Saccharomyces cerevisiae S288C: one gene and its partners. The gene in region 1 interacts genetically with each later gene. Each region holds a gene or a part of one and is shown in the gene's direction. Other genes may lie near its edges.

Region 1 (11,638 bases):
AAGAGACGTGTATCTGCTGGACCTAAGAAATCATGGATCCTCACCACACAGTTCAGTCCATAACTACGAAGTCATGTCGGAAGACGTGAAACACTTTATCACAAAGCACGAATTAAACACCAATGGAGGCCCTATTATAATAGGACACTCAATGGGTGGTAAAGTTGCCATGATGCTGGTCCTGAAAAACCCGCAACTTTGTTCGATGTTAGTCTGTATAGAGAACGCTCCGGTGAGTTTGCGCCCTAACGCTGAGTTTGTCGAATACATCAAAGCGCTGATGGAAATCGTCAACGACAAGGGCAAAACTATCCGCACGCTGAAACAGGCTGATGAACACCTTGCAGAGAGGATCGGCGGCAATGAGCTAGTAAGGCGGTTTCTCCTAACGGCGCTGAAAAAGGTCAAGATGGACAATTCATCGTCTGTGTCGTCATATACATTCGAAGAACGAATTCCCCTCGCAACACTGAAAGATGCCATTGTCAAAGGTGAAATTGCCGCGTGGCCCCTAGATCCTGCTCGTGAACGATGGACGCGGCCTGCGCTATTCATCAGGGCTACTCAATCGCATTATGTGGTAGACGAGTATCTTCCGATCATCGGCGCGTTCTTTCCACGCTTTGAAACACGTGACATCGATGCGGGTCACTGGGTAAATGCGGAGAAGCCTGGGGAATGTGCCGAAAGCATCGTCGATTTTGTGGAGCGGCACGAGGATTAAAGGCAAGCGCCCCGGAGCAAGGTGCCAGTAGCACCAGTCGGTGGCTGTGCGCTTGCCGTAGCACATGACATACGGACTATTGTGTGAGTGGTGATGGGGTGTAGGCAGTGCCACACCAGTTTAAAGGCCTAGTAACGGCAAATCGCCAAAAGAGATGATGCTGATGCATACGATAAGATCGTCAGTTTCACGTTCGCGGTTCGAACATGGAATTGTGGCTAAAGAAATTTGGGCGGTATGATGCAAATGAGGTGTACGTATGTATATATAGCAAAGAGTAGAATAAAATGAGATAAAGCCTCGTTCGTTCTCTCCATTTCTTCCCTGTTTCTCCTTTATTTTCTCTACTGCTTATTTCGAGTTCACCAGAGAACAAGAGAGCAGGAACGCAAAGAGTGTGTGACACGAAATTCAAGATACAAAAATAAAAGCTTACGTTGTGTATTTCAACTGGTGTGCTAAGAATAGAGTTTCATAAAGTACTGCATTTATTCATATATTATTTTTGTTATTTGTATATATACTTCACACTTAGAGTTCTACTAAAAGTCTACCCAGCACGCATCCTTCGTTTATTTTTACATCTCTCTTTTGCTTTTCCTTTTTTTTTTTGGTGCTTGCTAGATACTACTGAAGATCAAAGGTTACAAAGAACGCCGCATATATTTTCTGCAGGCATATTAAAGAAGTTACAAAAGGATTAATCGAAGCGCTGTTTGGATACACTCCTGTAAAGAGAAGAAAAGGAAAAAAATAAAAAGTGGACAATAAATAATTATTAAACTGTCATAGTTATGTCCTACAACGATCCAAACTTGAATGGACAGTATTACAGTAACGGTGATGGGACTGGTGACGGTAATTACCCTACGTACCAAGTGACACAGGATCAAAGTGCGTACGATGAGTACGGTCAGCCAATCTATACACAAAACCAACTGGATGATGGTTATTATGATCCAAACGAACAATACGTTGACGGTACACAATTTCCTCAGGGACAAGATCCTTCACAAGACCAAGGTCCTTATAATAACGATGCTAGTTACTATAACCAACCCCCCAATATGATGAACCCGTCTTCTCAAGATGGAGAGAACTTCTCAGATTTTAGCAGCTATGGTCCCCCATCCGGCACTTATCCTAACGATCAATATACTCCTTCTCAAATGAGTTATCCTGATCAAGATGGTTCTTCAGGGGCCTCAACCCCCTATGGAAATGGTGTCGTTAATGGTAATGGCCAGTACTACGACCCTAATGCTATTGAAATGGCTTTACCAAATGATCCATATCCCGCATGGACCGCAGATCCCCAGTCTCCCCTGCCCATCGAACAAATCGAAGATATCTTCATAGATTTAACAAATAAATTCGGTTTTCAGAGAGATTCCATGAGAAATATGTTTGACCATTTTATGACCCTTTTGGACTCTAGATCTTCTAGGATGTCTCCAGAACAGGCCCTTTTATCATTACATGCAGACTACATAGGTGGAGATACGGCCAACTACAAAAAATGGTACTTTGCCGCTCAACTTGATATGGATGATGAAATTGGTTTCAGGAATATGAAGTTGGGTAAGCTATCAAGAAAGGCAAGAAAGGCTAAGAAGAAAAATAAAAAAGCCATGCAAGAGGCTAGTCCTGAAGACACTGAGGAGACTTTAAATCAAATTGAGGGTGATAACTCATTAGAAGCTGCGGATTTTAGATGGAAGTCAAAGATGAATCAACTTTCTCCATTTGAAATGGTTCGTCAAATTGCCTTGTTTTTATTATGTTGGGGCGAGGCAAATCAAGTCAGATTTACCCCGGAGTGTCTTTGTTTCATTTATAAATGCGCCTCTGATTACTTAGATTCTGCACAATGTCAACAACGTCCTGATCCCTTGCCTGAAGGTGATTTTTTGAATAGAGTTATTACTCCTCTTTATCGTTTTATTAGGAGCCAGGTTTACGAAATCGTGGATGGTCGATACGTGAAGAGTGAAAAAGATCATAACAAAGTTATTGGGTATGATGATGTCAATCAATTATTCTGGTATCCAGAAGGTATAGCAAAAATTGTCATGGAAGATGGAACCAGGTTGATTGATTTGCCAGCAGAGGAGCGTTATTTGAAATTGGGAGAAATTCCCTGGGATGATGTCTTCTTTAAAACTTACAAAGAAACACGTTCCTGGTTACATTTAGTTACCAACTTCAATCGTATTTGGATCATGCACATCTCAGTATATTGGATGTATTGTGCTTACAATGCTCCAACTTTTTATACTCACAACTATCAACAATTGGTCGACAATCAGCCTTTGGCAGCTTATAAATGGGCCACTGCAGCATTAGGTGGTACTGTGGCAAGTTTGATTCAAGTTGCCGCTACTTTGTGCGAGTGGTCATTCGTTCCTAGAAAATGGGCGGGTGCTCAACATTTGTCCCGTAGATTCTGGTTCTTGTGTGTCATTATGGGTATTAATTTGGGGCCTGTGATATTTGTTTTCGCTTATGATAAGGACACAGTATATTCTACTGCCGCTCATGTCGTTGGAGCAGTTATGTTTTTTGTTGCTGTGGCAACACTTGTTTTCTTTTCCGTAATGCCATTGGGTGGATTATTTACATCGTATATGAAAAAGTCCACAAGAAGTTATGTTGCCTCACAGACCTTCACCGCATCTTTTGCTCCATTGCATGGTTTAGACAGGTGGATGTCTTATTTGGTTTGGGTAACCGTTTTTGCTGCTAAATATGCAGAGTCATATTTTTTTCTAATACTGTCACTAAGAGATCCAATTAGGATTTTATCTACTACATCAATGAGATGTACTGGTGAATACTGGTGGGGTAATAAGATTTGTAAGGTCCAGCCAAAGATTGTTTTAGGTTTAATGATTGCGACTGACTTCATTTTGTTCTTTTTGGATACCTACTTGTGGTATATCGTTGTTAACACTGTTTTCTCGGTCGGAAAATCGTTCTATTTGGGTATTTCTATCTTAACTCCATGGAGAAATATTTTCACTAGATTGCCAAAAAGAATTTATTCTAAGATCTTGGCTACTACTGATATGGAAATAAAATATAAACCGAAAGTACTAATTTCTCAGATTTGGAATGCTATCATTATCTCCATGTACAGAGAACATTTATTAGCCATAGACCATGTACAAAAATTGTTATATCATCAGGTTCCGTCCGAAATTGAAGGTAAGAGGACTTTGAGAGCACCAACTTTCTTTGTTTCCCAAGATGACAATAATTTTGAGACTGAATTTTTCCCTAGAGATTCAGAAGCTGAGCGCCGTATTTCATTTTTTGCCCAATCTCTATCCACTCCAATTCCAGAACCACTACCAGTTGACAACATGCCAACATTTACTGTATTAACTCCCCATTACGCCGAGAGGATTCTATTATCATTGAGAGAAATTATTCGTGAAGATGATCAATTTTCAAGAGTTACTCTTTTGGAATACCTGAAGCAATTACACCCGGTAGAATGGGACTGTTTTGTTAAGGATACGAAAATTCTTGCTGAAGAAACGGCCGCATATGAAAACAATGAAGATGAACCTGAAAAGGAAGACGCTCTGAAATCTCAAATTGATGATTTACCTTTCTATTGTATTGGTTTCAAATCTGCTGCACCAGAATACACCTTACGTACGAGAATCTGGGCCTCTTTAAGGTCGCAAACTTTGTATCGCACAATCTCGGGGTTTATGAATTATTCGAGGGCCATAAAATTACTTTATCGTGTGGAAAATCCAGAAATCGTTCAAATGTTCGGTGGTAATGCTGATGGATTAGAAAGAGAACTGGAAAAAATGGCAAGGCGAAAATTCAAATTCTTGGTTTCGATGCAAAGATTGGCCAAGTTTAAACCACATGAACTAGAAAATGCTGAGTTCCTGTTGAGAGCTTATCCGGACTTGCAAATTGCCTACCTGGATGAAGAACCTCCCTTAAACGAAGGCGAAGAGCCAAGAATTTACTCGGCCTTAATTGATGGTCATTGTGAGATTTTAGAGAATGGTCGTAGACGTCCCAAATTTAGAGTTCAACTATCCGGTAATCCAATTCTTGGTGATGGTAAATCAGATAATCAAAATCATGCTTTGATTTTTTACAGAGGTGAGTATATTCAATTGATTGATGCTAATCAAGACAATTACTTGGAAGAGTGTTTGAAAATCAGGTCTGTCTTAGCAGAATTTGAAGAATTGGGAATTGAGCAAATTCATCCTTATACTCCTGGTTTAAAATATGAGGACCAATCCACAAATCATCCTGTTGCAATTGTCGGCGCTAGAGAATATATTTTCTCAGAAAACTCTGGTGTTCTTGGTGATGTAGCGGCTGGTAAAGAACAAACTTTTGGTACATTATTTGCCCGTACTTTGGCACAGATTGGTGGTAAATTGCATTATGGTCATCCAGATTTTATTAATGCGACATTCATGACTACTAGGGGTGGTGTTTCCAAAGCACAAAAGGGTCTACATTTAAATGAAGATATTTATGCCGGTATGAATGCCGTACTTCGGGGTGGTCGTATCAAGCATTGCGAATATTATCAGTGTGGTAAAGGTAGAGATTTAGGTTTTGGTACAATTTTGAATTTCACTACTAAGATCGGTGCTGGTATGGGTGAACAAATGTTATCTCGTGAATACTATTATTTGGGTACGCAATTACCTATTGACCGTTTTTTAACATTTTATTATGCGCATCCAGGGTTTCACTTGAATAACTTATTTATTCAATTGTCTCTGCAGATGTTCATGTTAACTTTAGTGAACTTGCATGCTTTGGCTCATGAATCCATTCTGTGTGTTTACGATAGGGATAAGCCAATTACTGATGTTTTGTATCCAATTGGTTGTTACAACTTTCATCCTGCGATTGATTGGGTGAGACGTTATACACTCTCTATTTTCATCGTCTTTTGGATTGCTTTTGTCCCTATTGTCGTTCAGGAATTAATCGAGCGTGGTCTGTGGAAGGCGACACAAAGATTTTTCCGTCACATTTTATCTCTATCTCCAATGTTTGAAGTCTTTGCTGGCCAAATCTATTCTTCAGCACTGTTAAGTGATATCGCTGTGGGTGGTGCTCGTTATATTTCAACAGGTCGTGGCTTTGCTACATCTCGTATACCTTTCTCTATTCTTTATTCAAGATTTGCGGGTTCAGCCATTTATATGGGATCAAGATCAATGTTGATGTTATTATTTGGTACCGTGGCACATTGGCAAGCTCCACTATTATGGTTTTGGGCATCATTATCAGCCTTAATCTTTGCACCATTCATTTTCAATCCACATCAATTTGCTTGGGAAGATTTTTTCCTAGACTACAGAGATTATATCAGATGGCTGTCAAGAGGTAATAATAAGTACCACAGGAACTCATGGATTGGTTATGTAAGAATGTCGAGGTCTCGTGTTACTGGTTTCAAGCGCAAACTGGTGGGTGATGAGTCTGAAAAATCTGCAGGCGATGCAAGCAGGGCTCATAGAACCAATTTAATTATGGCTGAAATTATACCGTGTGCGATTTACGCAGCAGGTTGTTTTATTGCCTTCACGTTTATTAATGCACAAACTGGTGTCAAGACTACTGATGAAGATAGAGTAAATTCCACCTTACGTATCATCATTTGCACCTTGGCGCCTATTGTTATCGATATTGGTGTTTTATTCTTCTGTATGGGTTTGTCATGCTGCTCTGGCCCTTTGTTGGGCATGTGCTGCAAGAAAACTGGTTCTGTTATGGCAGGGATCGCTCACGGTATCGCTGTTGTTGTCCATATTGTCTTTTTCATTGTCATGTGGGTTTTAGAGGGTTTTAGTTTTGTTAGGATGTTGATTGGCGTTGTTACATGTATACAATGTCAAAGGTTGATTTTTCACTGTATGACTGTACTGTTGCTGACCCGTGAGTTCAAGAATGATCACGCTAATACTGCCTTTTGGACAGGCAAATGGTACAGCACCGGTTTAGGATATATGGCATGGACTCAACCGACAAGGGAATTGACTGCAAAAGTCATTGAGCTTTCCGAGTTTGCAGCGGATTTTGTTTTGGGGCATGTAATTTTGATCTTCCAACTACCAGTCATTTGTATTCCAAAGATAGATAAGTTTCACTCCATCATGTTATTTTGGTTAAAACCATCCCGTCAAATCCGTCCTCCTATTTACTCTTTGAAACAAGCACGCCTACGTAAACGTATGGTTAGGAGGTATTGCAGCTTGTACTTTTTGGTACTGATCATATTCGCGGGATGCATCGTTGGCCCTGCCGTTGCTTCAGCACATGTTCCAAAAGACCTTGGATCTGGGTTGACGGGTACTTTCCATAACTTGGTTCAACCAAGGAACGTATCTAACAATGATACAGGGTCCCAGATGTCTACTTATAAGAGTCATTATTACACTCATACGCCATCCTTAAAGACCTGGTCTACGATCAAATGATTTTTTTAGTTTACAATCTATTTTTGTTTCTAAGCAAGTTTATCACGCAAATACATAAGTATATTTTTACTTTCTATTCTTCCTAGTTTATATTTATTTCATTGTAACTTTCTTAGAAGCTCGGTCCTCTCGCTATATAGTAGGATCTGCAACATATTTGGATGTGGGTGGGCGTTCTCCTTCTTTTTTAGATGTAAGGTCCAACACGTATAACAGGTGATACACATAGAAAGACACGTGGAAATAACAGTCATTTACGAATATTTAAAACCTGAGCAACTCCGTCAAATTTGATCTTAATCTTTTCTGGGGCCCCATCTAATTCCCAGAAAGCCCTTCGAATTAGAAACCGGATGCAATTTTGGCTTGATCAAATAGTAACGCTTCTCTCCGGGAACATCAACGTACATGTTGATAAAGTCAGGTTGATAATTCTGTTTGGATTCTTTAGCCTCTAAGTGAACCAACGCTATTTTCTTTTTGGATTCAACGTGGAATCTCATATAGTGATGTGTCCTACCTTCTTTATCTAATTTTTTGGTAGATACTATAGGCCTGTTTCTTGTCCATTTGTCATTCGTTATAAGCTCACCGTACGCTTTCAATCTTTCTTTTCCCGTAATGCCATCGTCGCACTGTAACAAACTTCTTATATCTTTGTTTTTCTCTACCATAGAAACTGCTCTGTTGAAAAGCTGTGTATCACCTGAAGGCGAAAATAGTTCTGAAAGAATTAGGTAAATAACAATAGCAGATATACCAACAGCTCCTATCACAAGTATGCCAGAAAAGGTGAACGTAGAAGCGGATTTTACTTGAGGCCATAATGGCTTAGGTTTATTCCTAGTCTTGTCATCCTTCTTTCCTGATGTTGCGCCGGTGCCATTACTATATAATCTTGTTCTAAGCAGTGACGTATGAGTTATTACCGATGAGTTCACGAAAGTATTATATCGTGGAAACAAAGGCTTTCTATGTCCTAAACGGAGTAAAGACCTAGGCAAACTTGAGCTCATTGTTTAAACTTGGAGTCAGGAAAATAATATACGAATGATTTTACCAACCTGATATCTAAAATTAAATTTAGAACTATAACCTGCTGTCACTGGCGGAAAAATACGCCCTCAGGTTTGACCTAGTAGAGCTGAACATCTTTTCACTGCTTTCTGTATCCTTTATTTATTGGAGCTTCCGAAACTTCCCAAGAAAAGTGAAGAAAAAACCAGGAAAATCAAAAGACATGACGCATATAATGTACACCTTTTTTTTTTCGCGGCCAAAAATTTAACCTACTCATCTAGATCAGTGGTTGGTAGAGCAGTATTCCGTCATTTTTCATGTCCAGGTTCGAAGCTGACCTGGTATTATCCGGTTTTTTTTCTTGTTGACCAATAGGAAAAAAAAAAATTAAAATAAAGTCACAGAAATTCAATGAATATTATAAATTTTTCTTGTTTGTTTCCCTAGTTGTTATTTTTATAAAAAAAATTCTTGTAGACAATAAAATAAGAAATGCCCATTTTGTAACTTAGCGAAAGATGCCCAGTACATCCCTTTTACACCCGTGCATTAAAGGTGTTTGGGTTTAATAGGAGCTTTATCATATCTCTTTGATTTTTTTTCTGCTGTCCTCGGCTTGAGGGACTCACAGAGATCTGGAAATTTTCAGATTGTCAGTGCTTAGGATGGGTTGTCAGTAGACGGTGGCCGCCGTGGATGGGAAATCTCATACGTTTACACACATAGTGTTTGGAAATTAATAGTAGCAATAGCTATCTGGCTACTGTTTTAAAGTATTAGCCCGTTCTCAGTGCTTCTTTTTTAAGGAATAACAACGGCAAGACCAAAGATATATCAAATATGGCTAAGCAATCTCTAGGTATGTTTGGAGGATACGAATAACGATAGAAAACATGAGTGAATTTCCGTCCACGAAAAAATGTTAACATAAAATGCAAGAGAACAATTAATCGAATAATGTTAAATTATTGTAAAACAATGTGTATGATGAGGAGGAATGTACCTAAGCCAAAAAAAAAAAAAAAAAAAAAAAAAAAAAAAGAAACAGCTTTTGCATATTCAATCCAGGCATAGGGCGACTATTTAGCACTCAACGATTTTTAAGCTTGTGTATTGCTGACATAAATTCCGGCTTTAGAATCCAATATTGAAAAACGTGAGTACGCAGAGGAGATAGAAGAAAAGTAGGAAGTTACCGTTTATATTGATTTGTGAAATGCATACTCCGTTGGATGTGGGGCAACATAGATTTAAGTGTGGATGAAAATTATGTGCTCATTGTGAAAAAAAAGTTTTGCTTTTACTAACAAATTTTTTTATTATTTGTTTTCAATAGACGTTTCCTCTGACAGAAGAAAGGCCAGAAAGGCTTATTTCACTGCTCCATCCTCTGAACGTCGTGTTTTGTTATCTGCTCCATTATCCAAGGAATTGAGAGCTCAATATGGTATCAAGGCTTTGCCAATCAGAAGAGACGATGAAGTCTTGGTTGTTCGTGGTTCCAAGAAGGGTCAAGAAGGTAAGATTTCATCTGTTTACAGATTGAAGTTTGCTGTTCAAGTTGACAAGGTCACCAAGGAAAAGGTCAACGGTGCTTCCGTTCCAATTAACTTGCACCCATCCAAGCTTGTTATCACTAAGTTACACTTGGACAAGGACAGAAAGGCTTTGATCCAAAGAAAGGGTGGTAAATTGGAATAAACTAGCTCGACTTTAACATAGATCATACAAAAAATACAATAAATAAATCCTGTGTTTCTTTTATGTATATTTTTTATCAATTTCAATTTAGTTTAGTTTAGTTTCTTTAAAAATAAAATTGTAATTTCTCACATTCTGCCTTCGGGTCTCAAGGGCTGGTTGGTAGACGAATGCGCTTGTTTCTAGCTGAGCGGCAGATGCATGAATTCAATGCAAGAAAATGAGAAAACTTCCAATATTAAAATGTGATTGTTAATTATTAGTATATTTATGACAATATATATATGTACATAGGGTGATTATGAAGATGAGTAAGATGCGAATGGATATGAGGATATGAATCTTTTTAGAGACAATGAAGATGCAAAGAAGTAGTTAAGCACATTGACCTCAGGGTTGCTATATGCTACTTTTAGTCCGTTGGATTTCTGAAGCAGTATTGGCCACAAAAATTTCTTCATTATTTCTACGATTAGAGTTTCTTCTGGATTTTTCTCGTCCCTGAGACTTACTCCTTTTCAAGTCATTTTCAGCAGCAGCTTTGATTAAATCATATCTTGTGATTTTACTTGGAGAGCTATTGTGATGGGAACTTTGTCTGCATGTGACTGTATTAGTCAGAGATGTTATGGGCTTAACCATAAGGGAAGAAACTATGGCACGCATGAATGAATTACTGCTTTTACTGCTGTCATCTGTTGAGTTTGCTGAGTCTTCCGTTCTTGTAGTCTTGGCTGGTGTGAGTAACATTACGTATTGTTTCTGTAGAGAAGATAACTTATAACTTCCGTCTTGTCACTAGTTGTTTTAATTATATGTTTGTTACAAGTTTTTATGTATAGATATATGTTACAACTTTTAGAAGTATTGTGGACATAACAGAGAGAAGGGAATGTTGCTATATTTATATATTTTATATATTGCCCTCAAAACTGTATCTCATCTTTTTTTCTGCAATCCTTGCTTTCGTAATCTAAGTGTGGGTGACATGCTAAATCCGCGGCTTTCCTTAAGCTTTTTCACAAACCATCTATTATGTCCAGAAGCTCCGCTGATTATCCGTGGAAAAGGGTCTTATTCTGCCGTAGGAAACTTCTTCTCGAGAAAAAAGTGAGTTCACCCGCGGCGCTCTCGTAAAACCCGAGGGCCGATTCTTTCCCTCCGTGGAACAATCGGCCCCGCGGCGTCAGAGGGTATTATCTCCGCAAGTGATAGAACTCACATTTATTCTACGTTCTGCATGGTTTTGATTATCTTCTTTTGCACGATGTCACATACTTTTTCGATTACCGTCGCTTTACACAGTAACTGTTTAAAACGAGCGTTCTTAATTAATAACTGTAGGAGAGCAGGCTTTCGGCTTTCTTTATGAGAAATAAGGACTACTCCAGCTTGCCAAGTTTTATCCAGTTACACAAACGCTCAAGATCGCCTCGCTAAAATAGATGAAAAAATAAGAAAAATGAAATGTTCAACCTAATCCCTTTTGGATTTATCATTGAAAGATCGCTGATTTATTCTTTTCCAATACGCCTCGTAATTCTCTTTCAATGTCAAAGGCGCCAGATTGTAAGAATCTGTCATGTAAAATAATCTGACAATACGTAGTTTTAAAAACCAATTGATTAAACCAAGCTCTCTTATGATGCCAACTATAAAAAAATAAAGTGATCCAGTCAGTGCCCCCACGCTGAATCCCACGATTACTTGA
Region 2 (8,501 bases), on another chromosome or scaffold:
CATCCGCAAAATGAAGGAGCTGTTAGTAATGAAACACTTTTTGAGGACATTTTGAATGGAAATTCACAAGAAAATGATAAGAGTCAACAACAAACTAACAGCTCAAATTCTATAAGCCAAGAAAATAATAGCACCAACCCTTCAGTGGACACTCGGTTCAACAAGCCGCAAAATTATAATTCCAATTTAGTCCCATCCTTGGAAGAGTATTCAGCAAATCCACCTAACAATGATGGTGGCCAAAGTCAAGGACTGTACATAAGCAGCAACTCTTCTCAATCACGGCAGTCTCCTAATCTCCAGAAAGTTTCTCCTAACCATGAAAATGCGGTTGAATCAAATGCACAAGAGAGCGTGCCGACATTTGAGGAGGAACAGTATGAGACTAAAACAGGATTGAAACGGAAACGAATAGTCTGCACAAGACCCTTCGAATTTATCAAGTCACCACACTCTGTGATGGAGGTTTGGAAGGAGTATACAGAAGGTGTTAACGGGCAGCCTTCTATAAGGAAAATGGAAGCTCTTTATCAAACGGCATGGAGGCGAGATCCAGCAGTAAATAAAAGATATTCGAGAAGAAAGGTTCTTTGGAAAGCCATTCAAACTGGCCTTAATCGTGGGTATTCATTAAACTATGTTGTTGAAATATTAGAAAACTCAAGATATGTTAATGATAAACAGAAGGTTAAACAACCTATTGGTTGGTTATGCCACAGTTCTCATATTCCAGAGACTTTGAAGTGACATTTGCTTCTTGTGTATTCACCTTTATCCCAAATTAGCCCTTGTAACACTTATGCTTTTCTTAATAAATTAATAATTGGACTTTCCTTTAAAGTGGGTTGTATCTGTAACAATAATCTCTAATAATATCCTATAAAACTCAGAAGTCAGCCAACAACAATTGTATACGTATACATATCTATATAATATGCCTTGTACTTTACGCTCTTGAATTTAGAATAGCTGAACACCTAACTGAATTTAAGTAAAGGATCCCAAGCGTGAGATATTTAGGTTTACTCAGTTTTCTTATCTTGCCTTTTGATTATCACGTTGAGTGTCGAAGAAACCTGTATTCATCCTCGGCTTCTTGTATATGATTCTAAAATAATGTGTGAAAAAAAAAATAAAATAAAAAAAAGAGGAAAATAATATAGAATAACTATTAAGTTTCATTAAAAAAAAACCATTTGAATATACGACCAAAAACGTTACGCTTTCATAAAGTGTGAATAAGCAAGGGAACTATACTTGAAATATGGGGGCAAAGAGTGTAACAGCCTCTTCTTCAAAGAAGATTAAAAACCGGCATAATGGGAAAGTGAAAAAGAGCAAGAAAATCAAGAAAGTACGGAAACCACAGAAGTCTATATCCTTGAACGACGAAAACGAAGTAGAGATTTTACCTAGTCGTAATGAGCAAGAGACAAATAAATTACCTAAAGATCACGTCACGGCGGATGGAATTCTTGTATTAGAACATAAATCTGATGATGATGAAGGATTCGATGTCTACGATGGACATTTCGATAACCCTACTGATATTCCCTCGACTACTGAAGAAAGTAAAACGCCTTCATTAGCAGTGCACGGGGATGAGAAGGATCTTGCTAACAATGATGATTTTATCTCTCTTTCTGCTAGTTCTGAGGATGAGCAAGCCGAACAGGAAGAGGAGAGGGAGAAACAAGAATTAGAAATTAAAAAAGAAAAGCAAAAGGAAATCCTTAATACTGATTATCCATGGATTTTAAATCATGATCACTCCAAACAGAAAGAAATCTCGGACTGGCTAACCTTTGAAATCAAGGATTTTGTTGCCTATATCTCACCAAGTCGTGAAGAAATTGAAATTCGTAATCAAACCATAAGTACAATAAGAGAGGCTGTCAAACAGTTATGGCCAGATGCTGATTTGCACGTGTTTGGATCATATTCTACCGATTTGTATTTGCCTGGTTCCGATATTGATTGCGTGGTAACGAGCGAACTTGGTGGTAAGGAAAGTAGGAATAACTTGTATTCGTTAGCAAGCCATTTAAAAAAAAAAAATTTGGCAACAGAGGTTGAAGTTGTCGCCAAAGCTCGCGTTCCAATCATCAAGTTTGTTGAGCCACATTCAGGGATCCACATAGATGTTTCATTTGAGAGAACAAATGGTATTGAAGCAGCAAAGCTTATTAGAGAGTGGTTGGACGATACCCCCGGCCTGAGAGAATTAGTCCTTATCGTAAAACAATTCCTACACGCAAGAAGACTAAATAATGTGCATACCGGTGGTCTTGGTGGGTTTAGTATTATATGTCTTGTCTTTTCCTTTTTGCATATGCACCCACGTATAATAACTAACGAAATAGATCCAAAGGACAACTTGGGTGTGCTCCTGATAGAGTTTTTTGAACTTTATGGGAAAAATTTTGGTTATGATGATGTTGCACTGGGATCATCGGATGGATATCCAGTATACTTTCCAAAATCGACATGGAGTGCTATTCAGCCTATTAAAAATCCATTTTCATTGGCCATTCAAGATCCAGGTGATGAATCAAATAACATCAGTCGAGGGTCCTTTAACATTCGAGATATTAAAAAGGCATTTGCTGGTGCTTTTGATCTGTTGACGAATAGATGTTTTGAATTACATTCAGCAACTTTTAAGGATCGATTGGGGAAAAGTATATTGGGAAACGTGATCAAATATCGTGGAAAGGCAAGAGATTTCAAGGATGAAAGAGGTCTAGTACTGAATAAGGCTATTATTGAAAATGAAAACTATCACAAGAAACGTAGCAGAATAATTCATGATGAAGATTTTGCCGAAGATACAGTTACCTCCACAGCCACCGCTACCACAACAGATGATGATTATGAAATAACGAACCCACCTGCTAAGAAGGCTAAAATAGAAGAAAAACCTGAAAGTGAACCGGCCAAGAGAAATAGTGGAGAGACATATATCACTGTCTCTAGCGAAGATGATGATGAAGATGGATATAATCCTTATACCCTTTAATATGTGCCTTTTTGTTTAAATGATGCACTGAACTGTACATCACTGTGTACCTGGATAGAATGTGTGTTTAAATATGCGTATTATGTATTAATAATTGAATTTAATTTTACTTCTGTTTTTCTTTTTATCGCTGTGAACTTTTTTGTCAAGAAGTCGCTCTTTGTTGGCTTTCTCTTTTATTTTATTCCATTTCTTTGAGGTCTCAGCAGTGGTATCATTAGGAAATTGGCACGTTTGCCGAATTTCTTGAACCAACTTCTCGAAGCATTTTAATTTGTTGGTTTCCCTTGACCTAGTTTCATCAGATTGAATTACTATAGAATCGCTGCCCTTAGCGTAGTATCGAAACCTGCCGCTACTTAAGATGTTTCTCACTTCCTGAGGAATCCAAGCACAGTTTGATAAACCAGAAAGTGTCAAAGTACATTTACTATTTACCTTATTAACGTTTTGGCCTCCTGGCCCGCTGGCTCTATCGTAACGTAAAATAAATTGATTTAAGGGCAAGCCCGTTACGTTAAGTGCTCCTACCCAGTTTCTTGCCTGGACGAAGTCAGATTTCTTTCCGATCTTTTTATTACTAATCAATCTGACTGCCTCTTCAACGAACTGTTGTTTCTTGCAGTGCAACATTGGTTGAAGTACAAACAGAGGGGAGCGCCCAGTAAGTTTAAACTTTCCCATCAATGTTGTCATATGATATTTCTTGGCGTGTTTCCCTTCAATTTACTGAAAGGCAAACAGTAATGTTAAGGATTCTGTTGTTTTTTTTTACCGTATACGCTTGATTTCGTCAGCCCCTTGGAAGACACGAAATGTTGACTATCCGCTTCCAGATCTGGTAAAAGATTGATTTGCGATAATTCCTGTTGTTGTCATCACGGGTGTTATGGTTTGTTGTAAACTAAAAAAAGAATGAAGGAACAGGACGCAGATTCATCTAATCAAGTTCTGTGGGGAGGTCCCCAGTGGTAAGTGAATAAATATTCGCTTTATGAAGACCTACACCTGGTTTTCTCAATGGATCAGACGATAAGTACAATTTTTGTAGAGCTATACTCGAGGACAATCAGACAAAACGAAAGAATATCTTTCGATGAAGGGCGTAAAAAAGGAAGGATGGATATCTTATAAAGTTGATGGATTGTTTTCGTTCTTATGGCAAAAGAGATACTTGGTACTGAATGATTCGTATTTAGCATTTTACAAAAGTGATAAGTGCAATGAGGAACCAGTCTTATCTGTGCCTTTGACTAGTATAACAAATGTTAGCAGAATACAATTGAAACAAAATTGTTTTGAGATTCTTCGGGCAACAGATCAAAAAGAGAACATATCCCCCATAAACTCCTACTTTTATGAATCAAATTCCAAAAGATCGATATTCATTTCCACAAGAACCGAACGGGATTTGCATGGCTGGCTTGATGCCATTTTTGCCAAATGTCCTCTCCTTAGTGGTGTTTCATCACCAACAAATTTTACACACAAAGTACACGTTGGGTTCGACCCAAAAGTGGGAAACTTTGTTGGAGTACCTGATAGTTGGGCTAAACTACTACAAACCTCAGAAATTACGTACGACGATTGGAACAGAAACTCAAAAGCTGTTATTAAAGCACTGCAATTTTATGAAGATTACAATGGACTGGACACAATGCAATTCAATGATCACCTCAACACAAGCTTAGACTTGAAACCTTTAAAAAGTCCGACAAGGTATATTATAAACAAGAGGACTAATTCCATCAAGAGATCAGTAAGTAGGACGCTCCGAAAAGGCAAAACAGATTCCATTTTACCCGTCTATCAATCAGAACTTAAACCATTCCCAAGGCCTAGTGATGATGATTATAAGTTTACCAACATAGAGGACAATAAAGTACGCGAAGAAGGCAGGGTGCATGTTAGTAAAGAAAGCACGGCAGATTCCCAGACAAAGCAGTTAGGAAAGAAGGAACAGAAAGTCATTCAAAGCCATCTGCGAAGGCATGATAATAATTCAACATTTAGACCTCATCGACTAGCACCATCTGCACCTGCTACAAAAAATCATGATAGTAAAACTAAATGGCATAAGGAGGATCTCCTTGAACTTAAGAATAATGATGATTCGAATGAAATAATAATGAAGATGAAAACTGTTGCAATTGATGTAAACCCAAGACCGTATTTCCAACTGGTAGAAAAGGCTGGTCAAGGAGCAAGTGGTGCAGTATACCTGTCAAAGCGAATAAAATTACCTCAAGAAAATGACCCGAGATTCTTGAAATCACATTGCCACCGAGTCGTAGGCGAAAGAGTGGCCATTAAGCAGATACGTTTATCTGAACAACCAAAGAAACAATTGATTATGAATGAACTCCTAGTGATGAATGATTCGCGCCAAGAAAATATCGTTAATTTCCTTGAAGCCTATATTATTGATGACGAAGAGTTATGGGTGATAATGGAGTACATGGAAGGTGGCTGCTTAACAGATATATTGGATGCTGTAGCAAGGAGCAATACCGGTGAGCACTCATCGCCGTTAAACGAAAACCAAATGGCATATATAGTAAAAGAGACGTGCCAAGGTTTGAAGTTTTTGCATAACAAGAAAATTATCCATCGAGATATCAAATCTGATAATATCCTTCTGAATTCCCAAGGGTTAGTGAAAATTACAGACTTCGGTTTTTGTGTGGAATTAACAGAAAAAAGAAGCAAGCGTGCCACAATGGTAGGTACTCCATATTGGATGGCACCTGAAATAGTGAATCAAAAGGGATATGATGAAAAAGTCGACGTTTGGTCTCTAGGGATAATGCTTATTGAGATGATAGAAGGTGAACCGCCTTACCTAAATGAGGATCCTTTGAAGGCGCTGTATCTGATAGCTAACAACGGTTCACCAAAATTGCGTCATCCAGAGTCAGTGTCCAAGCAAACCAAACAATTCTTAGATGCCTGTTTGCAAGTGAATGTCGAATCAAGAGCATCCGTGAGAAAACTACTAACGTTTGAATTTTTGTCAATGGCATGCAGCCCTGAGCAGCTCAAAGTATCCTTAAAGTGGCATTGAAATTTAGCTTTTTTTTATTTAGGAGAAACAATATATATATATATGTATATACGTATGTATGATTCATATTTTAATCGCATTTTTATTTCATCTAAAACAATTACTCTTTTTGATTATTTATAGAAAAAAAACAACAATGATACGTTTGCTTCGCGTTATGTCAATAGAAAATGTAAAAGGAAAAAGAATGTGTTGCTATTCGTTAGGCGGATTTACGGATGGAAGACATATCTATGAACTGAGCTTACAAACGCTTTTAGCGGGGACAGTTAATCATTTTACGGATGATTTTATAAGAATAAACTATTTTTGAAAAGTTAGGATAGTATTTTGTACATTTGGCACCGAAGTAATTCAAAATCGAGGAAGACTCGCACACTTTTACAATCACAGAAGGCAAAACCCGGCATGACAGGATGATAATGTCATCAACTATGTCGACAGAAGCCGCCTTGGTACCGAACGAAAGTGTTTTTGACACAGTTTCGTCATTCAACGAAGACGATGCCAATTATAGCGTTCTTGATTTATACGATGACGACGATGAAGGGGATGATAGTTCTACAGTAGAACGAAAAGAAATATTGACAACACGTGAGCTTGAAAAAGCAAAGGCGTTTACCAGCTTAATCATGGCAGATCCTGAGAATTTTGATAGATATGGATTTAGCAAGAAAGGATATTTCATTAGTCAGGAAGAATACGACAAATGGTGGACAGAATATAATAGATACACCGAAAGAAGAAAAAAAAAGTGGGAGAACTTTCTTCTTAAGAATAAGATTGAGCTCCACAATGATAATCCTCTAGTATATCCTGCAAGGACAGATGAATTGTCAAAATTTGTTAGAAAAGGTATACCAGCAGAATGGAGAGGGAATGCCTGGTGGTATTTTGCTGGTGGACAACGACAATTAGACGCAAATGTTGGCGTTTATGATAGACTGAAAAGTGACTGTCGCGAGGGTGCCGTATCTGGTAAAGATATGGAAGCTATAGAACGGGATCTTTATCGAACGTTTCCCGATAATATACATTTCCATAAGGAGTCCTTCCAAAATGGAGAGCCGGCGATCATCCGATCATTGCGTCGAGTATTAATGGCCTTTTCTGTTTATGACAAGACTATTGGATACTGCCAATCGATGAATTTTCTCGTTGGATTGCTATTATTGTTCATGGAAGAAGAGAAAGCATTTTGGATGCTGGTTATTATTACCGGTAAGTATTTACCTGGCGTGTATGAATCAGACTTAGAGGGTGCGAACGTGGATCAAGGGGTGTTGGTGTTATGTATCAAGGAATATTTACCCGAGATATGGTCACACATTGAGTCATCGTATATGAATGGCAATGGCAGCACTGACCAGATATCAGGGCCAGCATCGGGGGAAGAATATCTCTGCAGGCTGCCTACGCTGACGCTGTGTACGGCAAGTTGGTTTATGAGCTGTTTTGTGGGCGTGGTGCCCATCGAAACGACCCTGAGAATATGGGACTGTTTATTCTATGAAGAGTCTCATTTTTTATTTAAAGTGGCTTTGGGGATACTGAAATTGAGCGAAAGCGAGTTTTTGGAGAGTAAAAGCCAGAAACTGTTTAGACAGTACTCTTCGTACACCTTCGGTGGTAGTAATGACTCTGATTCAACTTTCAAAAGATTAAAGAACAAGATTAAGACGCAGGAAGAGGCAGATATGGAGATTTTGCAAGTGATTCAAAATTTCCCAAAAAGATTGCTCAATCCGAATGATATCTTTGAGAAAGTCCTGATGAAGAAGAAGGTTGCGTTGAATGGTATTACCCAGGAAAAGATTGATCGCGGTAGAGAGTATGTGGCGATGGCGAGAAATAGACAAAGGGCGAGTAGCCGCCCAAAGGAAAGAAGAAAATAGTAAGCGCAACCGTGATAAAAAGCGCAACTGTGTAAAATAACAAGTATGTACGTACTAACTATACTAATCTTATTTGGCCAGAGACCAGCCTTTTTGTAGACGCTCCATGACTTGCCTAACCGCAGCCTGATCGTTCTCGAAATTGTTCTTCAGAAGAGCCTCGATATCATCCCAGGGCACAGTGAGTTCCTGTGGAGGAGCAGGAGCAGGGGAGTTAGTGGATTTCTCGGCTTCGGGTTCCTTAGATATAGTCGGATTCGGCTTAATCATGACTGTGATTGTGGAATTGGCAGGCGTGACCTTCAAATCCGATAAGAACAGGTTATCGTGGAGGACTTTGCCCTTCAAAAGCAGTTTTATCTCGCTTATGTGGGAGGCCTTTTCCTCGCTGATCAAGTGCTGTTTTATTTGTAAGATAGTATCTGATGGGCTGAAATCATGCTCGATGGAGAACTTGGGAGCTTGAATTTTCTTTAAGGTTAAGTGGACGGCGGCGTTGTCTTGACCTTGCTGATCTTGGTGC
Region 3 (7,199 bases), on another chromosome or scaffold:
GTTCAAAGAGTACTACACCAAGTTGAACGAGAAATTCACCGGCTCAAACCAGAGCAATGGTAGCATGCAAGACCAGACTGTCTTGGATTCCATAGTTATTGTCACGAATAGCACGGGGGTAAAAGCACTGCTGACTTTGTTGTCAGACCACCCTCTCACCAGCCTTATCTCCCAGGAATCAATAAAAGCGCTACATGAATATTCAGATGCTGTTAACGAAGATAAGGGCGACGACCAGAGCAACACAAGTTTGAAAAGAAACTCTTCGTCGTTGTTGAATTTTCAAAACTCGGTTTTAACCTCCAATAAAGACAAGTCCGTCAGAATTAGGTCGTTGTCTATCAACAGAAAATCCAACAGGGCACATATGTTCAAAACGAACGAATCCATCACAACTATCCCATCAACGTCAATCAACAATCTTATTGGTCAGGAATCCAACCTACGCAAGCAGCCTTCGGGAACTGCACTGCATTTACAATCGCATCTGCATCCACATTCCCGTTCACAATCCTATTCTAGTTCTAATATGTCCAGATCGCCTTCTCCCTTCCCCTACGGAAAGACACCATCAAACGACGAACTAGTATATGACGAGTTAAACAACCAAATCAACGAAGTGCAAGACCGTGCTAAGAATGAGGAAATTGTCCTGTACAACAATAATAATTATGACGATTATACAAAAGAACGAGGGGAACAAGAGCAGGATAGAACCTCATACGCAGATGAATATGGCTTTAATTACGATGATGAAGAAGGTGGAAATGAAGACAACTATGATGATGATGAAGACGATGATGACGATGATGACGATGACGATGAGAGTGACGATGAAGGTTTGAGCTTTTACGCTCCAAGCATTTTGTCCCGCTCTGGTTCGAGCACAGACGTGTTATCCTCCGGAATAGATTCTATGGCAAAAAATTCGAAGGAAACAAGGGGTAGGTTTAGGTCCTTGAGTTTAATGGACCCTGCTCTGCAAAAGCCGTTCAACCAGAAATTTCCAAACAGCCAACAACCCGATTCTGCAGGGGCTTCATCACCTAAAAGATCGACCTCTTCAAACCATTTTACTAACGTCTACGTGCACGATGGTGATTTTGACGGGACAGACACTATCAACAACAAAAAGAATCTATCGTCTGCAACGCTTATTAAAAGGAAATCTTTGATGAACAGAAACTTGGCTCCTTCTATTAGTAATGGATTGATACCTCCGGAATTTATTTCCCGAATATCTACGCCCTCTACAAGCGCAAGTAGTTCAAACTCCTCGTTGAATGACATGTCTACAGTATCAAACGCATTTTCCAAATTATTAAATGACACAAGTAAGAAGCAAAAATTCTTGAATTCACCAATTCCACAACATACACAACAGGCATCTCCATTACTAATGAGAAATAATTCAAACAGTAACTTGCTATTTGAGAAGAATTTGATCAACAAGTCATTTGAAGAACTGAGAAGACAACCATCAGTTAACCTTTTTAGCACCTTGATGAATGGTAACATGGAAAAGAATGGTTTGGCACTAAACTTCAAGTCCAGAACGCCTACAGATGCGTTGATGGCGAATAGCATTAAAAATAGTAACAATTCCAGTCATAGGTTACTAAATCTCGAGGAAGAAGACCAAATCATGTCTGGATCTCTCCCCAAAGAACGCGAGGACGATAACGATTCGACTAATAGCACAATAGTACCGAATCACCCAGACAATGATAACTATAATGATAATGATAACGACAATAATACTGGTATAAATTCCAATAATTTCAATCTAAATCTCTATGATGACAATGATAGTGCAGGCTTTACAGATGTAACAACTGAAGGAGTGAAATACTCAAACTCGAATTCTACAGTCACCAAACCCGTTTATAAAAAAGCCGTCACCCTGGATTTATACGGCGAAGATGATATGGATAACATGGGAGGATGGGTATTAGGAGGTAATGCCCGGTAAAATAATCACCTGAAAAAAACTAGGTTAAGCACAAGGCAAGGGAAAAAGCCAAATTACACATATACTTGATTATAAATAGATTAGTAAAACATATATTCTAAATTAAAACAGCACTTTAACCGATATTGTATTTTTTTTTTTGGGTTTACGTGATACTGCGTAAATCTTCAATTTTCAGGGCTTTGTCCGCAAGGGGCCCGTTTATTTATCAAAAAAAGTAATGAGATTTTCGAAGAAAGTTCATAAACCTATAGATCTTGTTACATTTGGCAAGAAAACAATAAGTGGGATCTGCGGTCCAAGCAACGCATTTTCTTTTCTCTAATCGACAAGTTCAAGTAAATATTTCTATTAGTCATATATCTCTCGAGCTTATATATTAATAATGAAATCATTTCAAAAATCTTATGAATTCGATTACCCATGGGAGAAAGTCACCACGGCGAACTGGATGAAATATCCAAACAAGATCTCCACACACGTTATTGCAGTCGATGTGCTCCGCCGAGAGCTCAAAGAACATGGCGATGTACTTCTTACAGAACGGCTGATAACCATACGTCAGAACACCCCTCACTGGATGTCCATTTTAGTGGGGAACACTAATTTAGCATACGTGCGAGAGGTCTCCACCGTTGATCGAAGGGACAGATCTTTAACTATGAGGAGTTGCAATATGACCTTCCCGCATATTTTGAAGTGTTACGAAACCGTACGTTATGTTCCTCATCCGAAAAATCCATCGAATGTGACTCTTTTCAAGCAGGATGCAAAGTTTCTGTCTGGTGTTCCGACCAAAACCTTTAGTGAGAAAGTAGAAAACTGGGGCGTTAAACGTTTTAGTGATAACGCGGTGAAGGGGAAAGTCGGGTTTGATAGTATTCTAGCAATGTTCAACGATATCTGGAAAAATGCTAACGAATAAAAAAAAATACATCTTTTCTCAAGCATTTTTTCTCAAGCATTTTTTCTCAAAAAAATAAGGATTTATAGCCTCTTTGCATATAACTACACTCAGAAACTCAAAAATAAGTGAATAGATTAATTTGCCAAAATAGTTTCTATAGCGTGTCTTTCTCTTTTTGCAAACTCGTGTCATCTTGATATAAATCAAATATTTTCTGTCATTTTTTTTTCTCTTTTTTTTCAGTTTCTAGAATTTTTTTTTTCCACTTTAGCGATGAGATGAAAAATTTCCAAAAAACATGCGGTACGGTATTTTCAATGAAAAATTTCAGAGGGCTAGTGCCCTATTGAAGAGCTCAATACTTGATTGAAGTTTTGACATCTTAAATTTTGTTGGTTCAAGTTACACTAAGGTTGTGATAGGGAAAACGTGAAGATAATGAACACGAATCAGTCCAATCCGAATACAGATTTAACAGATGATGCCAATATAGAACATACGTTGCATCGGCTGCTCACTCAGGCAAATAATCATTTTGATGATACAGTAAAGATTGATGGGCAGAGTTTAGATTTGGGAAAGGATCTCGAACAAGTTATGATGGATAATTTAGACTGCACTGATATTTTTGATTCCGACATCGCTTCTCAGAAACACCTAACATTGGAATCTTTATTTAACGATGAACACAACACCGATTCGAGCACACTTTTGGAAATGCAGAGAAGTGCTAATGATAGCCTAGTTGGTATTGATCTCGATAGGCATAAAAAGGGTTATACTGGCAAGGCATCATTAGATAAAAGTACAAACCAAAATAACGTACATAAACCTGATAAAGAACAAAAGAACTATAAGATAGATAAACCCACCATCAAGAAGAAAAAATCCCTTTTGAAAACCACAAATGAACCCATGTTATCCCCTGCATCCCTATCACCTTCATCTTCGTTAGCTTCATCCGACGCTAATGAATCCCACCTAAAAATAGAATCCATGATTACTGATATAACATCTAAAATAGATTCTGCAAGACAAGACATTGTATCTGCAACGAAGCCTGCTAAGTTCACAAATGAGTTTACAATAAGTCAAATTTCGGAAATGAAGGCAAGAATAATTAATACTCATAAATTGCTGCTCAATTTCAATTTTATTAAAGAAGGTTACGCGAGATCTTGTATTCAATTGAAAAAATCTATGGACTCTTTAAAGGATAGTGAAATTCACAGAGCACATTTATTGGTTGAGAATGATGACTTGAAGCAACAAATCCTAGAACTTACTCAAAAACTCAATGAAAAATCATCCAAGGAAAGTTAAATTTAGAGTTAGTTCTGCTAAGTTTATCTGCATTTATTGGTTTTTTTGTCTTTACTACAAAGATGGTCCAATTTTATATACAATATACACTACCTTTCTCAGTCATCGTTATTCGTACTCAACTTTTATTATTTTAAGGAACACAGTCGCATTTTTGAGTTTCATGTATAAACATTACTATACGCATATTTCGTATTTAACTTTCTATAAATCCCCCAAAACGTTTTATTAAATTTTCAACGGTACGCTCGAATAACCGATTTAGTTTGAACAGGAGGAACCATTTTCGCTCATGCGTATGGCTTAAAAGACCATCGAGTCATTTTTAGTAGGGAGGTAATGGTTATTTAGTTATATATCTAAATCACTATCACTTTCACTTCTATCATGATTTGTAGAAGCGAAGCGTTCCGTATTCACAGATGAATGCTTTCTTATTTCGAATGTGTCTTCTATAACACCTGAATGGGCTAAAGATTGCTCTAGCCTCCTAATATCAAACCCATTAGGGTCATTTCCCAGTTTACTAAATCCTACGTAGCGAACTTTTTCTAGGCCATTCTTGTATCCAACTACAAACGGAAGTACTTTAATATTCAGTTTATTAACCAAAAATGGACATGTTTGGACGTTTACTTTAATAAATCTCGTGGTTAGATACCTCTTTGCCAAGTTTTCCAGTTTTTCATTCATATACTGGCACTTACCGAATGTTTCTAATTCAAAATGTATGACCACCATAGTAGTCTTTGTACATATTTGGATAGCATCTGCCTCGTTATCAATGCACTGCAATCTACCGTATCCGTCATCCTCAACATTCTTCTTGACCTGTTTTAAATGATCTGATATTTGTTGTAGCCTCTCCGACCGATAAGCACTCAAAAATTCATGATCCTCGTCTAATTCTCTATCCAATTCATTAAGTAGTTCATCTAAATTTTCCTCGCCACTACTTTTGTCATCGCTATCGACAGTTGTGTGTTTATCCTTTTCAGCATTTGAAAGCACATTTGTGTAGTATCTGTCTAATTTATCTTCCATATTAATTTAATCTTCATATACGTATGAGTTGTTAAGAGAATGGAGTATTTTCGTTAATCTTTTGTACTTCATCCTACTTTCGTGTTTTTTAAACTCTAAAAATTACACTACTATGATCACTATATTGCTATGGAATAATAAAAAGCAAAAACGAAAGATTGAAAGGAAAGTCGTCCTTTTGTATCCATCTTTTAAACAAAGCTTACAAAGAAATTTGCCGTCATGACTTGCTAAATTTGATATAAAACTAAAGGAACCAACAACTTACCTAGGTGTTCTTTTTTGTCCCCGTATAGTGAAGTAATTGGTGTTACGCCCAGTCCTGCAGTTTTAGCTTGGACCACAAAACATAATGCAAATCCAGTAGAGGTTATGCAAACTGTTTGGTGAGCATAGTAATACCACACCCGGTATAATTTATATCTCTTGTTCATTGTCTGTATATAAGGTGTATTCGCATATATTAAATAGCCAGACGTTTCCCTTCAAAGCATTTTGATCCTGGAAGAGAATAGCAGTAATTCTGTCTAGACTACAGTATAAAAATAAATAAAAATGGGCATCACAGAAACAAAAAGGACAATTGCATTAACTAGAAATTGTTTGATCGAACGCGTATCATTCACAGCGTATTTACTATGTGTCAATGATTTTTTGGATTTCGATTTGGAAATACTTGTAGGTAATGGCAAATCTGAGGTGTTACCATCAGGTCGTGTAAATACTCTGTTCATTATGGTTGCTACGCGATTATTAAAAGATTTTGGGAAAAAATGCATGTATGCGATAAAGGCAGCAGAGAATAATAATCCCCATAGGTACATTCTGATTGCCTTATAGGGATCTGGCATATAGCATAGCTCTGTTTGGTAAGTTTTTGATGCATACTCTCCGCCGGCATTTACCATTGTCAAATCTGAAGGATTATATAAGGAGAGCAATTGAATAGCAGGCCTACTGATCCCCATGTTCATTGCACATGACTTTACTGTAATTTCTTGAGCATTTTTAGTTTTCCCCTGAAACGGATATGAGTGTGATATCTGACAATGGTCATGATCATCCCCGGAAAATAATATTTCTGGTTGAATTTTCGTTAAAATTTCTTGTGATATATCGTTTTCTATAACTGTCTGGTACTGGTGCCCTTTCTGAATAGGAAAAGGTTCTTTGGATTCACGTAGCTGACCGCACGTTTGCTGTTCTGGATCCCTCCATAATGGAACGTGAGTTAAAAGAATTCTAGGAAGCGGATGTGAACCCATTGCAAAATTATCCAAAAACTGTCTAGGAACCCTCGAGACATTCGGATTTGTTTTATCAGAAAGCGAAATTGTATCTAAAAGTACAAAGGTATGATTTCCAGCGTCTAATGAGGAGGAAGTTTCTCCAAAGTAACTAGAAAATCTCTGTAAACTCGATTCAACAACTGTGTCTCCAAAACCAATATCGTGATTACCTGGTAAAGACATGACCGTTCTTCTCAGTGGCTTCTTGGGGAATATTTGGTTGAATCGTGTGTACTCTTTAATCCATTGCTTATCATCCCAGTTTCTCCCTCCATCAAATAGATCACCTAGGAAAAAATTGCTATCAGGATCCAAGTAATACTGGACATATTTCCAATTTCTCCTGTGATAATGGTCAACAATCACTCTTGTAAAATAATTAACTATTTGAGGCCTCCCAGGATATGAATATTCGTCCATTATTTGTGGGTCTGCAAATAAACCCACCCTATGACTTTCAGCGCCTTCAGGCCAATCCTCCCAAGTCGACCATTGGCACTTCTTCATTGCTCTCTTCACAACCACTGATTCATAATAAGATATTAATCCTAACCATAAGATCCATACAATAGATATGTATCTCCAGTAGATTCTTAACCTCTTCTTGCTCCTGCTTTTTGATTTCTTTTTCGAACGTGATTTATAGTGGGCCTTATCGTCGCTC
Region 4 (6,125 bases), on another chromosome or scaffold:
CACCTATTTTAGTAGTGAAATTCAGGATGGACCCAAATCCCAAATCTCTACCCTTACCACATTGGTAGTAATCACTATGTTTTATCTTTCCACCACGGCAGATTGCGTTCATTCCAGCATATATATCCTCGTTTAAATGCAATCCTCTTTGTGCCTTAGACAGGCCACCACGAGTGGTCATAAAAATGCCATTGAGAAAATCGGGATGCCCATAGTGCAATTTACCACCAATTTCAGCCAACGTTCTAGCAAATAAGGTTCCAAAAGTCTGTTCTTTACCTGCAGCAATATCACCTAACACTCCAATATTTTCTGAAAAAATATACTCTCTTGAACCAACAATAGCGATGGGCGGTGGTTCTTCTTCATATTCAATGCCAGGAATGTATGGGATTGTGGGATTAAGCTCAAGCTCTTCGAACTCACTTAAAACAGACCGTATCTTTAGGCATTCCTCCAAATAATTATCTTGGTTTGCATCAATCACCTGAATATACTCACCACGATAAAATATAATAGAATGGTTCTGATTATCCGATTTTCCATCGCCAAGTATTGGATTGCCCGACAGGCGAATTTTGAATATTGGCTTCCTTAATCCACTTTCTTCGTCAAACTCAGCATAGCCATTAGTCAGGCACGAATAGTACGTTTTCTCAGATTCATTTTGCTCTAATTCTTCCAAAAGGTAAGATATAAACATATTTGGATAGGCTCTTAAAAGTAGTTCTGTTGCCTCCACTTCATCCTTATTAAATTTTGCATATCTCTGCATAGCAACAACCATCCTAAATTTCCTGCTAGCCATATTTTCTAAGTCATTCTCCAATGCTTCATTATTGCCACGATACAAGCTAACTAAAGAGGGGTTTTCAATTCGATACAGTAGCTTAATAGCTTTGGAATAGTTCATAAACCCTGAAAGGGTTCGGTACAAAGTCTGCGTCCGCAATGATGCCCAGATTCTTGTTCTCAGGGTGTACGATGGTTCTGATGAGTTGAAGCCAAAGTAAGAAAATGGCAAATCATTAATTTTCTCCTTAATAAGATCGTCTTCTGTGGGCAACTTCCGGGACTCAGTATGGTCAGAAAGCGGGCTAGACCTTGGATCGTACAGAGCATCCGGAATTTCCAATCTATCTTCATCATGACTGCTCTCTGCCTCTTTCAAAAAGCTCTTTTCCATGCTTAGTAGTTTGGTATCCTTAACAAAACATTCCCATTCTGTAGGGTGTAGATGCTTCAAATACTCAAGCACCGTGATTTTACTTTTAGGAGATTCTTCCCTGATAATTTCCTTCAAGCCCAACAGAATCTTTTCTGAATAATGGGGTACCAAAACGGTAAAAGTTGGCATACAATCCACTGGAACAGGTTCTGAAATGGGGGTCGCCAGGGATTGGGCAAAAAAGGATATCCTTCTTTTTGCCTCTGAATTTGATGGAAAAAATTCCATTGACTTGAACGTTGAATCATCTTGTGCAACGAAAAATGTAGGCGATTTCAGGGTTCTTGTGTCTCCCATTAAGGAGTCAACTTGCTGAAACAAGAGTCTTTGTAAATGTTCAATGGAGAGAAGATGTTCCCTATACATTGATATAACAATGGCATTCCAAACCTGCGATATCAGTATTTTTGCTTTAAATTTTACATCCATCTCTGAAGTAGCAAGGATTTTGGAATATATCCTTTTTGGCAATCGAGAGTATACATTCTTCCATGGCGTGAGAATTGAAGTACCAAGAGAAAATGACAGTACAATGGAAAAAATACAGTTGCAAATAATGTACCAAAGGTAAGTGTCGAGAAAAAACAGGCCCAAGTCAGAAAGCAGCATGAGAACTAATGTAATTTTGGCTTGCCATTTACATAGAATAGGACCCAACAAATATTCACCTTGACATCTGGACAAATCCATAATAGAGAGGACCCTGATGGGGTCCCTGAGGGACAAGGTCAAAAAAAAATAGGACTCAATATATTTCGCCAAATACACAAATACCCATAACCCATAAGAAAACCATTTGCTGCGTCCTGTCAGCTTAGGAAATGAAGCGGTAAAGGTTTGCGATGAGATGTACCTCCGATGTTTTTTGTCTTTATTCAAATATGGACGAAATAAGCCGCCCAAAGGTCTGACAGCAAAAAAAAAAGTGGTTAAAAATGCAATGATTAGTTGGACGATGGACACGATATACGCAGATTTTGAATGAACATCCCATTCGAAAAACCCCAGAACATACACGGAAGGTCCCAAATTGATTGCAAGACAAAAAAGTAAGCCAATCATTCTACTCGATAAATGCTGAGCGCCTGGCCATTCTCGAGGTACAAATCCCCACTCGAACACGGTGGCTAAAATTTGAACTAAACATGCAATTGTGCCTCCAAAGGCAATCACTGATAGTCTAACTTGGGGTGTAGGCTGGTTATTCAATAACTGTATATAATTCTTGGTGTACAAAGTGGGGGAATTAAATGTGGTGAAGAACCAAAACGGTGCAAAATGGATAATCCAGAATCTATTGAAATTGGTAAAACAATGCTTCCAACTTCTGGTTTCTCTATATGTCTTATAAAATACTTTAGACCATGCAACGTCTTTAAAGTAAAGATATCTCTCCTCCAATGGCTTGTCAACTAATCGTTCTCCATTGTTTAAAATAATACGTTCAAATCCTTCCGGGTACCAAAATAATTGATTGATGTCGTCGTAACCAATAATATTCTTGTGGTCTTTTTCTCTTCGTTTCCAGTTCCCCTTTGCGTCTTTTTTGTATACTTGGCCCCTTAGGAATTCGTATAAGGGAGTAATAACGTCATTTAAGTATGAATACTCAGGTGATTTCACCGTTTTTTCGCTACTTGACGTACTAATATCATAATCAAGTGCACATTTGAAAATAAAGCAAAGGCATTCTGGGGCGAATCTGACTTGATTGGCTTCACCCCAGCAAAGCAAATAAAGGGCCAGCTGTCTTATCATATTTTCGGGCGTCAATTTTTTCATTTTCAATTTCCATTTGTAGTCTGCACTTTTCAAGTTTGTCTGATCTTCCAATTGTTCTTGAGTCAGTGTGATCTTTGGATGGTTATTGATGAACTCTTGCTCCTTCTCATTCCATTGCTTAATTTGTTCCTTTATCGATACGCCTCTTTTCTTCGCCATTTTTACGTTTCTTTGGCGTGCCTTTCCATGTAGTCGCATGTTTTGAAACCCGATCTCTTCATCTAAATCGAGCTGAGCGGCAAAATACCATTTTCTATAATTTGCGTGTTCGCCTCCAATATATGAAACATGTAGCGATACTAAAGCATTTTGAGCACCTGTACGACTTGCCCTGGAGTCCAGCTGTCCCATTAAATGTTGATACATATTTTCCATAGAAGATTTCTGGAAGCCAAACTTATCCATGAGCTCCACAAAAATTTCTCTAATTTCCTGCATTGTTATTGGGACTTCATCGTCTTGGCACCAAGCAGGATACTCAACGTCAGTTAGCGAAAACTTGGGACTCATAAAATCCATATTCAACTCCTTAACTTTCCTTCTCAGTATGTTTTTCTTTTCCCAATATGCAGTTCCACAGCCCTTAATGATTAAGTTGTATAGTGGCAAATCCTAGAAGGCATAATTACTTTTGAAGGTTCTCGCCAAATAGCCGCTGACCATGTAAAACTCTTACCCGCATAATTTAACCATCATTGCCGCACTAGGCAAGATGGTCCGATCTTGATGGGCGAGAATGATTAGTTCAGAGACGTGCAACAGCCATATACGAAAGCTGTCTCGGCCTTCACTTATGCTGATACCAGGCACGGTAATAATTAAGAAAGAATGCCTCCCTCTTTCTTTTTCTCAGGCAAGACATCTAGATTTTCTTTTTATCTAAGCCCTCAATGACAAAAATATTTGTTCCTTACATATCCCCAGAGATCTTCGGTCTAGATTTCGCGAAAGACCGTTTGCAGTAATTTACCTTTTTCGGAAAAGTCCTCGAAGATTTCGGACGAAGTAAAACCTGAAGAGAAAAATGCCAAGACTTTTAATTGCGCGAAACAGCGGACAAAAAATTCGCGTTGAAACGTTTGAATATGGTAACAAACGTCGCACGCGTTTGAAAGTTATTCGTGTTTTCATGTGTACAGTAACTTCTCCATCGAGAGCCGTATCCATAAGCCTTCTTTTCCACGTTTGTTTCAAAACTGTAGTATTTATAATGGAGGGAAAGATGTCTGCGTGAAGTTTGTCTTACAGTGTATCTTTGAAGCGTGCATCATATTTTTCCCATTTTAAATTCATCTATTATATAGGCCCAAATAAAAGAGTTAAATACTATACTTTTGCAATATTGAGCTGAACATCCAACTGTCACGTCTCTCCTTTACTATTACTGTTCTTTTTTTCAAATTGTCAAAAGATAGTATTAACGCAAAAAAAGTCTTCATTCCATTATGCGTTTTTCAAATTTCCTAACTGTATCTGCATTATTAACCGGAGCTCTAGGAGCTCCTGCTGTTCGCCATAAACATGAAAAGCGTGACGTTGTTACTGCCACAGTCCATGCGCAGGTTACTGTTGTCGTTTCCGGTAACAGCGGCGAAACTATTGTTCCAGTGAACGAGAATGCTGTTGTAGCTACTACCAGCAGTACTGCAGTTGCTTCTCAAGCAACTACATCCACTTTAGAACCAACAACTTCCGCTAATGTCGTCACTTCTCAACAACAAACCAGCACTCTTCAATCTTCCGAGGCAGCATCTACGGTTGGTTCTTCGACTTCATCCTCACCCTCATCCTCATCCTCAACTTCATCTTCAGCTTCATCCTCCGCTTCATCTAGTATCTCAGCCTCCGGTGCTAAGGGTATTACTTACAGTCCTTACAATGATGATGGGTCCTGTAAATCTACTGCTCAAGTCGCCTCAGATTTAGAACAGTTGACTGGTTTTGACAACATCAGATTATATGGCGTTGACTGTAGTCAGGTTGAGAATGTCTTGCAAGCTAAAACTTCAAGCCAGAAATTATTCTTAGGCATATATTACGTTGACAAAATTCAAGACGCCGTTGATACTATTAAATCTGCAGTTGAGTCTTATGGCTCCTGGGATGATATTACCACTGTTTCTGTCGGTAACGAACTGGTCAATGGCGGTTCTGCCACTACGACGCAAGTCGGTGAATACGTTTCCACGGCCAAGTCAGCTTTAACCTCTGCTGGTTATACAGGCTCAGTCGTTTCCGTTGATACCTTCATTGCTGTTATAAATAACCCTGACCTGTGTAATTATTCTGACTATATGGCTGTCAACGCCCATGCATACTTCGATGAAAATACTGCGGCCCAAGATGCAGGACCATGGGTACTAGAACAAATCGAAAGGGTTTACACTGCTTGTGGTGGGAAAAAGGACGTCGTTATTACCGAAACTGGTTGGCCATCTAAGGGTGATACTTACGGCGAAGCTGTCCCATCTAAAGCAAACCAAGAAGCCGCCATTTCTTCTATCAAAAGCTCCTGCGGCTCTTCAGCTTACTTATTTACCGCCTTCAATGATCTATGGAAAGATGATGGGCAATACGGTGTTGAAAAATACTGGGGTATTCTATCAAGTGATTAAACCACTGAAACTTCATTTACTTTATGATCATTCTTTTTCCCTTTTTCTTAAAAAGCAGCCAAATATGGGGGAAATAAGCCCTTTCCCATATTTGCTCTCCTATTCTTATCACGTTATTGTTTACTTATGTGTTTTGTGTAAAGTATATATTCTATACTCATTTGTGAAAGATTTTTCAATTTGTCTTCCTTTTAGCTACGGGTCCTCGCTGCTCTATAGTTTGTGTTCTAACTTATATATATATATATATGCGGCATTACCTAAAAGCAAAATAAAACTGTAGAGCATTGCCTGTGTGGAAGTGATGGCGGCTGAGAGATTATCATAAAAAAACATAAAAAAAATGGAGAAAACATCAAAGCTAAACATAGTCGTAAGACGTATCAGTTTTTAATGATCATTGGTCTATCATAGGAAGAATGCGATCTCAATCTATCCGGATGATCCATGTAGATATAATCTAAGTTGGACATAATGTCATACAATATAACTTTGTCCAA

Evidence for each region.
Region 2: mutations in GSC2 (region 1) and SKM1 together harm fitness more than expected from each alone (negative genetic interaction), as found in Saccharomyces cerevisiae (2 studies listed by BioGRID).
Region 3: mutations in GSC2 (region 1) and ATC1 together harm fitness more than expected from each alone (negative genetic interaction), as found in Saccharomyces cerevisiae (2 studies listed by BioGRID).
Region 4: of GSC2 (region 1) and SCW10, changing one enhances a phenotype caused by changing the other (phenotypic enhancement), as found in Saccharomyces cerevisiae (one study listed by BioGRID).

The regions. Positions count from the first base shown.
Region 1 is NC_001139.9:546,746-558,383, forward strand, and holds GSC2 (1,3-beta-glucan synthase GSC2), read left to right. Parts: upstream 1-1,518; coding exon 1,519-7,206; downstream 7,207-11,638. Other genes in the region: IMO32 (Imo32p), read left to right, coding at 1-724; NAG1 (Nag1p), read right to left, coding at 64-555; TIM21 (Tim21p), read right to left, coding at 7,503-8,222; 60S ribosomal protein uL24 RPL26B, read left to right, coding at 9,067-9,085, 9,563-9,927; YGR035C (uncharacterized protein), read right to left, coding at 10,327-10,677; YGR035W-A (uncharacterized protein), read left to right, coding at 10,820-11,041; CAX4 (dolichyldiphosphatase), read right to left, coding at 11,404-11,638. UniProt on the Saccharomyces cerevisiae protein: Alternate catalytic subunit of the 1,3-beta-glucan synthase (GS) complex. Synthesizes 1,3-beta-glucan, a major structural component of the yeast cell wall. Required for spore wall assembly.
Region 2 is NC_001147.6:100,211-108,711, forward strand, and holds SKM1 (putative serine/threonine protein kinase SKM1), read left to right. Parts: upstream 1-4,115; coding exon 4,116-6,083; downstream 6,084-8,501. Other genes in the region: MSN1 (Msn1p), read left to right, coding at 1-747; non-canonical poly(A) polymerase PAP2, read left to right, coding at 1,265-3,019; PTH4 (Pth4p), read right to left, coding at 3,107-3,715; Rab GTPase-activating protein MSB4, read left to right, coding at 6,500-7,978; MDY2 (Mdy2p), read right to left, coding at 8,048-8,501. UniProt on the Saccharomyces cerevisiae protein: May be involved in cellular signaling or cytoskeletal functions. May play a role in morphogenetic control.
Region 3 is NC_001136.10:827,632-834,830, reverse strand, and holds ATC1 (Atc1p), read left to right. Parts: upstream 1-3,317; coding exon 3,318-4,202; downstream 4,203-7,199. Other genes in the region: SND1 (Snd1p), read left to right, coding at 1-1,972; UPS3 (Ups3p), read left to right, coding at 2,358-2,897; PLP1 (Plp1p), read right to left, coding at 4,554-5,246; YDR182W-A (uncharacterized protein), read right to left, coding at 5,477-5,680; putative lipid phosphatase CDC1, read right to left, coding at 5,774-7,199. UniProt on the Saccharomyces cerevisiae protein: Involved in cation homeostasis and in the regulation of the cation stress signaling cascades. Also involved in bipolar budding.
Region 4 is NC_001145.3:878,563-884,687, reverse strand, and holds SCW10 (putative family 17 glucosidase), read left to right. Parts: upstream 1-4,455; coding exon 4,456-5,625; downstream 5,626-6,125. Other genes in the region: FKS3 (putative 1,3-beta-D-glucan synthase), read right to left, coding at 1-3,529; ubiquitin-specific protease UBP15, read right to left, coding at 6,009-6,125. UniProt on the Saccharomyces cerevisiae protein: Glucanases possibly play a role in cell expansion during growth, in cell-cell fusion during mating, and in spore release during sporulation.